Oryzias latipes: one gene and its partner. The protein of the gene in region 2 interacts with the protein of the main gene of each other region in a biochemical or structural test. Links are inferred from orthologs where the notes say so. Each region holds a gene or a part of one and is shown on either strand. Other genes may lie near its edges.

Evidence for each region. The genes of interacting proteins can lie anywhere in the genome.
Region 1: the proteins of sos1 (region 2) and itsn1 form a complex in vitro, tested with the Homo sapiens proteins (2 studies listed by BioGRID, with this or other methods). The link is inferred for Oryzias latipes from reciprocal best matches to the Homo sapiens genes SOS1 and ITSN1.

What each region holds. Positions count from the first base shown.
Region 1 is NC_019873.2:636,821-640,793, forward strand, and holds part of itsn1 (intersectin-1), read left to right. Parts: intron 1-410; coding exon 411-509; intron 510-579; coding exon 580-663; intron 664-733; coding exon 734-817; intron 818-906; coding exon 907-1,038; intron 1,039-1,157; coding exon 1,158-1,235; intron 1,236-1,309; coding exon 1,310-1,431; intron 1,432-3,973. UniProt on the Homo sapiens protein: Adapter protein that provides a link between the endocytic membrane traffic and the actin assembly machinery. Acts as a guanine nucleotide exchange factor (GEF) for CDC42, and thereby stimulates actin nucleation mediated by WASL and the ARP2/3 complex.
Region 2 is NC_019859.2:113,426-117,398, forward strand, and holds part of sos1 (son of sevenless homolog 1), read right to left. Parts: coding exon 3,901-3,973; intron 1,827-3,900; coding exon 1,617-1,826; intron 1,549-1,616; coding exon 1,405-1,548; intron 1,334-1,404; coding exon 1,223-1,333; intron 1,083-1,222; coding exon 984-1,082; intron 1-983.

The DNA of each region.
Region 1 (3,973 bases), on a different chromosome or scaffold from region 2:
ATGCTGTTTTTAGTCGTTTTCTTGGATATAGTTTCTGCAGAGCAACAGGAGTTCATTGAAAAGTCGCCTCAGAGTTGTGGGCGGGGCCATCAGTGCAGGGTCCAGCTGTGCTCACTTTCAAATCTGCGCTTGTTTGCACCGTCTCCTGCTAGCTTACAGCCCCTCACAATCCCAAAGAGTTCATTAAAAAATGAACCTCTGCCAATTGTAGTATGTACATTTCTACTACAAGCTTTGTCAAATAGCATGTTTTCATCTGCTCCTGATTCACCACGTTTTGAGGAAAAAAATACTCAGAAAGAGTTTTAACCTTAATCATCTTTACCTATGTCCTCCATCATGAGAAAAATGCCTCAAGAACATGTTAAAAACAGCCTTTTCATTGGAGTGGGTGTTCTCTGATCTGCCAGAGGTTAGCCATGGACCCCCGCTGTAAGGGAATGCCTCTGTCTAGCTTCCTGCTCAAACCCATGCAGAGAGTCACACGTTACCCTCTCATCATCAAAAACGTAAGTGTGGTTTGTACAGACACACAAACACCACAGAGCTCTTCTTTGAACTGTTAGTGTTTCTACACAGATCTTAGAAAACACATCAGAGGCCCATCCGGACCACAGCCACCTGAAGACTGCTCTGGAGAAAGCAGAGGAACTATGTTCACAGGTGAACGGAGCAGGAGGCGCTGGTGCGAACAGGCAGGACACACACGTGCTCACGCTGTGTGTTCTTTCAGGTGAACGAGGGCGTCAGGGAGAAGGAGAACTCTGACCGTCTGGAGTGGATTCAGGGTCATGTTCAGTGTGAGGGTCTCTCAGAGGTGAGTAGCACTTTCCTGCCTGCTTCACCTGCAGCACAGTAGCATAAACTGAATCTGAAGTTTTCTAAAAAGCTGCATCTGTCCTAAAGCAACTGGTCTTCAACTCTGTCACCAACTGCCTCGGCCCACGCAAGTTCCTCCACAGTGGGAAACTGTTCAAGGCCAAGAGCAGCAAAGAGCTCTACGGCTTCCTGTTCAACGACTTCCTGTTGCTGACACAGGTGAGCCTGTGGTACTAAGGGTTGGCTGACCTCTGTGACCTGGGCCACCTATAATCACTGTTCCACCTGTAATCAGCCTATTTTCTTTGTAATAGAGTAAAGTGCCTCTGTCCTAACAGGTAATCAAACCTTTGGGCTCATCAGGGTCAGACAAAGTCTTCTCCAAAACTCACCTGCAGTACCGCATGTACAAGACAGTGAGTGCACACCAACCAACACAGGAGGAAGCTCAATCATTAGCCTTTCTTGACAAAAGTCTTTTCCTTTTCAGCCAATCTTCCTAAATGAAGTTCTGGTGAAGCTGCCGACAGATCCATCAGGAGACGAGCCTCTGTTCCACATCTCCCACATTGACAGAGTTTACACTCTCAGAGCTGAGTCTATCAATGAGAGGTAACGCCAAGGCTTTCATCTCTTAATCATTTTCAATTCTCCTAAATCAGGCAGCAATAGAGGCTTGGATGCAGCTGCTCGGTCATGGAAACCCATTCCATGAATCTCTCTGTATGCTGGACTTGGACTAATCTGAAGGTCACATGAAGTTTGGAGCAATTGACTGTGTAGAAAGTCGGTGACCTCTTTGTGCTTCAGCATCCTCTGACTCCGCTCCATCAGTTTGTGGTCTACCACTTGGTGGCTGAGTTGCTGTTGTTCCCAAACTCTTCCATGTTGTTCTGATAGAGCTGACAGTTGACTGTAGATTTAGGAGAGAGGACATTTCACCACTGGATCTGTGGTACAGGTGGCGTCCAATGACACGCGTCCAATGTCTGTGAAAACAGTCTGGATGACTGAGTGATGATTTGATACACCTGTGGCCAGAACAAGAGATCAGGACACCTGATACTGATCATTTGGATGGGTGAGAGTAGACTCTTGGTAATATAGTGTAAATGGCAATTACTCAGTCATTAGGTTCGTCAGAATAACCATTTTTGCTCTACAAACTTTTATTAACATCTTCTTGCTAACCCTTTTTTTCCTCATGATATTTTAACTGTTACTCAAGTTAGAAACTGACCAATCAGATGCCTCTATAAATGAAGGTGGCCTTGCGTTGAATATTCGAAGCATTTGATTAAAAAATTCTCCAGAGCCCACTTTCAGTGGAATGGGTGTGGCCTTCTAATATAATCACTCCTGACTAGAGAGAGTGGTTGCCATAGAAATTTAGACCAATCACAGCTTCACTGAGGACGTCTGGTTCCAACATAGCAACTGACATCGTGGATGGGGGGTCTAAGGGCAGGGATGCCAGTTCAGCTTAGTCTGTTTGTTAGTTCAATTTAGTATTTTCCACTTGAATTCATGTATTCATGATCCTTTTGAGTTTATGTTGAACCTTTTCAATTACCTATACGAAGCCCATCGAGACGACTGTTGTTGTGAATTTGGGCTATACAAATAAAATTGAATTGAATTGAATTGAAAAATGGCAACTGAATTGACTTAAGTTGGTAGGAGCCAGAAGCAAGGCATTTTCTAAGGGTGATGTCACACGTGGGTTGTCCAGTTATGCAGTCAGTGGGTGTAACATTTTGAACCAGCTGAAGTTTGAAGGTATAAAAACACCTACTTCGCTTGCTTTGGTTAAAACAAACCTCGGCCTATTTCCAATGGTGTGTGAACGAACAGTCATGCAAACTCTGCTCCAAACAAGTGCACCAAGACCCTTCTGAAGCATGGAGAACTGAACTGGGCGATAGAAAATGACTTGCTTCCAATGAAATGAAGAGGATAGAGTAAAACTTTATCGATTCTACAAAGGGGAAATTACCTAAGTCAGTTCACTCACCATTTTTTCAATACGGACATCACCATGTCGGAAACTATTATCATCAGTAAGCAGTGATTAGTCTGAGTCGGTCTAAGTCATTTCTATGGAAACCACTCTGTCCAACCCGAAGTAAGATTGTTGGAAGTCCACATCCCTACCATGTGAAAGCATGCTGGGGAGATTCTGTCAAACACATTGACTGTTCAACATGAGACCAGATATATTTACTGAGGCATCTGATTGGTCAGTTTATAAATTGAATAACTAGTGATGGTTAGGAAAAATCCTGAAAAAAATGATGATTAGGAAGAGCATGTTAAGGAATCTTTAATGACTGAGTAATAGCTTTTTATGTCTCTATAGGAGTCTATGGGATTTCAGCTTTTTGAGACCAGCAGGTACTTGATCAAACCCAACTTCAAATACAGTGGAACAAAACCGTTACCAAGTGTGAAAATAATCCCCCTGAAAAAGATGAGTAAGGTCTGTAATGTTCATCAAAGGCACATGACAGCCATTAGAGACAAAACAAGGGGGTATGTGGTACTAGAAATCACATTGTCTTTTTTTTAAATGGAATAACTAGTAAATTCATCTGGGCAAGATGTATTTGGTCTAATACAAACAAGCAAGATTTCTAGCTCTCACAGACCAGTAACTTCTTTAAAATGTTCCTCTCTCCTCCACTCTTCACACTCCAAACTCCACTATGGCCAAGATTTGTCAAAGCACACCAGATTCAAAATTGTAGAGCTGCACCAGGCTGGGAAGAATCTGCAGCTGTAATAGAAGATCACGGATAATCTCCCTCCTTCTGGGGCTCAACGCAAGACTGCACCCCACAGGGTCAAAATTATAACAAAAATTGGAGTGTAAAAATCCCCAAACCACATAGGGGGACTATGAGTAAAACACCACAACAACAGGCAATCCAATTCCAGACATGTCCCCTTCAAGCCAGCACACGTCCGGGCCTGTCTGGGGTTTGCTAGAGAGCATCTGGATGATCCAGAGGGGGTTGGAAGACTGTGATATGGTCAGATGAAAATAGAACTTTTTGGTAAAAACTCAACTTGTCGTGTTTGGAGGAGAGACAAATGGAGAGTTCGAAGAACACCATACCTACTGTAAAGCGTGGGGGTAGAACCATCGTGCTTT
Region 2 (3,973 bases):
GCAGAACCCTGGAGCTCCTTTATTCTACTGCTCGTTTTCAGTCTGCAGTAGAACCGGGAAACCCGGAGAGGTTCTCCACAGCAGAATCACACATTTGATGGTAAAGAACTGCACAGACAAGTCATCTCACACACAGTCTGCACACACACACACACACACACACACACAAACACACAGTCATGGACAGTTGGAACTGCTTGTTTTAAAAAGAAGAAAAGCTAAAAGGGTTTCTATATCAGTAGTTAATAAAGCTGGTTTTTGGTTTTTACATACATTTACTTATGCCATGGTCCGGGTGAATCCTCGATTCTGATTGGCTGCTGGGTGTGCATTAAAACCTGATAACCGCACGGTGAAAAAAGAAGTTCCGGTCACCTAGCTTAAATGTTTTGTATCACTGCGCCGGAGTGATACAGGACTATGGTACAAGCGGGTTAATGGCCTTTGAAGTGTGCGTTATTACTTTTTAACGCCTTATGCGGAAGCAACCGTGGTTCAGGCTCAGAACTGGTGTAAAACTGGATCAGAATCGATGTGAAACAAAATTAGAACTGGTGTAAAACAGGAGCAGAACCGATGATAAACAGGAGCAGAACTGGTGTAAAACATAATAATAACCTATGTAAAACTGGATCAGAACCGATGTAAAAACAGGATTATAACTAGTGTAAAACAGGAGCAGAACCAATGTAAAAGGAGTGGAACGGATGTATACAGGATTAGAACTGGTGTAAAACTGAGTGGAACAGGTTCATAGCCATCTTACATGTTTTCCTGCTGTAAATATTGTTTCTCCTGCAGAGCGAGGGACATCTCATCAAAATCCCTTACAGTCTTTTACGCTGGTCTTACATACAACTGGTTTGGTTCTTTCTTTCTCATAAACTCATTGTGGTTTGAAGATCCACAGAACAGACTTCTAAGCGAGTCTCTACATGAGTGACGAGTGTCATGTAAGGAACCGGAGAGGATCCATGTCTCACCTTGAGGATATCGAATAGATGCAGACAATGATAGACTGGAGTGAGGAGCAGCCGGGGAAGAACGTACTGAACCGCCTCCTTAAAACCCTCACAGATGGACTGTAAAACAGACAAAAGCTTCATCAGGAGGTGGAACCCTGGGACTGACTGCCAGGCAACTAGGTTTATTCTTTCAAGTTTTAGATCAACTCGAATCAAAGTATTTCGTACATTGTCATTGAGGTCGGGGGCGGGATTACCTGCAGGTGGAAGGAGGCCCCGGGCTTGGACACCTGACTTAAGAAGTGTTCTTGGAAGCCAGAACGCAGAACATCTTGGGAGTAGGTTTCGTACGGGTCAAAGGCCAGCTCCTGTCAACAACAGTCATGTAATTAACTTCTCTGTCCAGACATTCAACCAATCAACAAACAGGAATCCAAACCTCAGCCAGATCCTCAAAACAGCTCCCCACCAAAGGATGAGGGCTCCCTTCATCTGTCATCTCCACGGCGTCTTCAATCAGGCCCAGCAGCTTCATTGTCACCTCATGGATGTCCAAGATCCGACTAAATATACTATCCACCTCCTGCAGAACCAAACCCACTGCTGTGACTCCACGGTCCTGATGGGCCGGTGCCTTCAGAATATACCTACATGCTGGGAGAAGAGCATGGGGCAGGAGCTCAGAGGTTCCCTGAAGACTTTAATTATCAGGTTAAGCTGTCTCAGGTACTGTCGACCATCCGCCATGAAGCTCCGCACCAGCTCCAGGTAACTCTGATCCTCATTGGCTGAGGGCTCCTCGTCAATCAGAGGGAAGCCAGTGGGGTCTTCGTCATCCTGGTGGAACATGTCCATCAACACCTGTGTGCACACACACACACACACACACATACCCATACATACCAACACACACAACACACATACACACACAACACACATACCCATACATACCAACATACAAACGCACACAACACACACACACACACACCTACCAACATACACACACAACAACATACACACACACCACACAACACACATACACACACCAACACACCACACACACACACAACACACATACCCATACATACCAACATACAAACGCACACAACACACAAACACACAAACACACACCAACACACACATACCAACATACACACGCACACAACACACATACACACACAACACACATACACACACAACACACATACCCATACATACCAACATACAAACGCACACAACACACAAACACACACACACACACACACATACCAACATACACACGCACACAACACACATACACACACCAACACACACACACAACACACATACCCATACATATCAACATACAAACGCACAAAACACACCAACACACACACACACACACATACCAACATACACACGCACACAACACACATACACACACCAACACACACACACAACACACATACCCATACATACCAACATACAAACGCACACAACACACAAACACACACCAACACACCCATACCAACATACACACGCACACAACACACATACACACACAACACACATACACACACAACACACATACCCATACATACCAACATACAAACGCACACAACACACAAACACACACACACACACATACCAACATACACACGCACACAACACACATACACACACCAACACACACACACAACACACATACCCATACATACCAACATACAAACGCACACAACACACAAACACACACACACATACCAACATACACACGCACACAACACACATACACACACCAACACACACACACAACACACATACCCATACATATCAATATACAAACGCACAAAACACACCAACACACACACACACATACCAACATACACACGCACACAACACACATACACACACCAACACACACACACAACACACATACCCATACATACCAACATACAAACGCACACAACACACAAACACACACCAACACACACATACCAACATACACACGCACACAACACACATACACACACAACACACATACACACACAACACACATACCCATACATACCAACATACAAACGCACACAACACACAAACACACACACACACACACACACATACCAATATACACACGCACACAACACACAAACACACACACACACACACACATACCAACATACACACGCACACAACACACATACACACACCAACACACACACACAACACACATACACCACAACAACCAACAACATACAAACCACACAACACACAAACACAAACACACACCAACACACACATACCAACATACACACGCACACAACACACATACACACACAACACACATACACACACAACACACATACCCATACATACCAACATACAAACGCACACAACACACAAACACACACACCAACACACACATACCAACATACACACGCACACAACACACATACATACACACATCAACACATCCATCCATACCAACATACACACGCACAAAACACACATGCACACACCAACACACACACACAACATACATACCAACATACACACGCACACAACACACATACACACATCAACACATCCATCCATACCAACATACACATGCACAAAACACACATGCACACACCAACACACACACACAACATACATACCAACATACACACGCACACAACACACATCAACACATCCATCCATACCAACATACACACGCACAAAACACACATGCACACACCAACACACACACACAACATACATACCCATACATACCAACATACACACGCACAAAACACACAAACACACACACGCATACCAACATACACGCACACAGACACACATAAAACACACATACAATCACACACATACCAACACACACAAACACACATTTTCAGGAGTCTCAAAGTATTCTCAGCGTTCGTCAGGTGTTTCTAGAACGGCGTGGGGGGTTAGAATGTACCTTGTCCGCACACATGGCCACAGTGATGTCCTGCTTGGTGATGTCATAGTGGCGGATATTTCTTACATAGTTT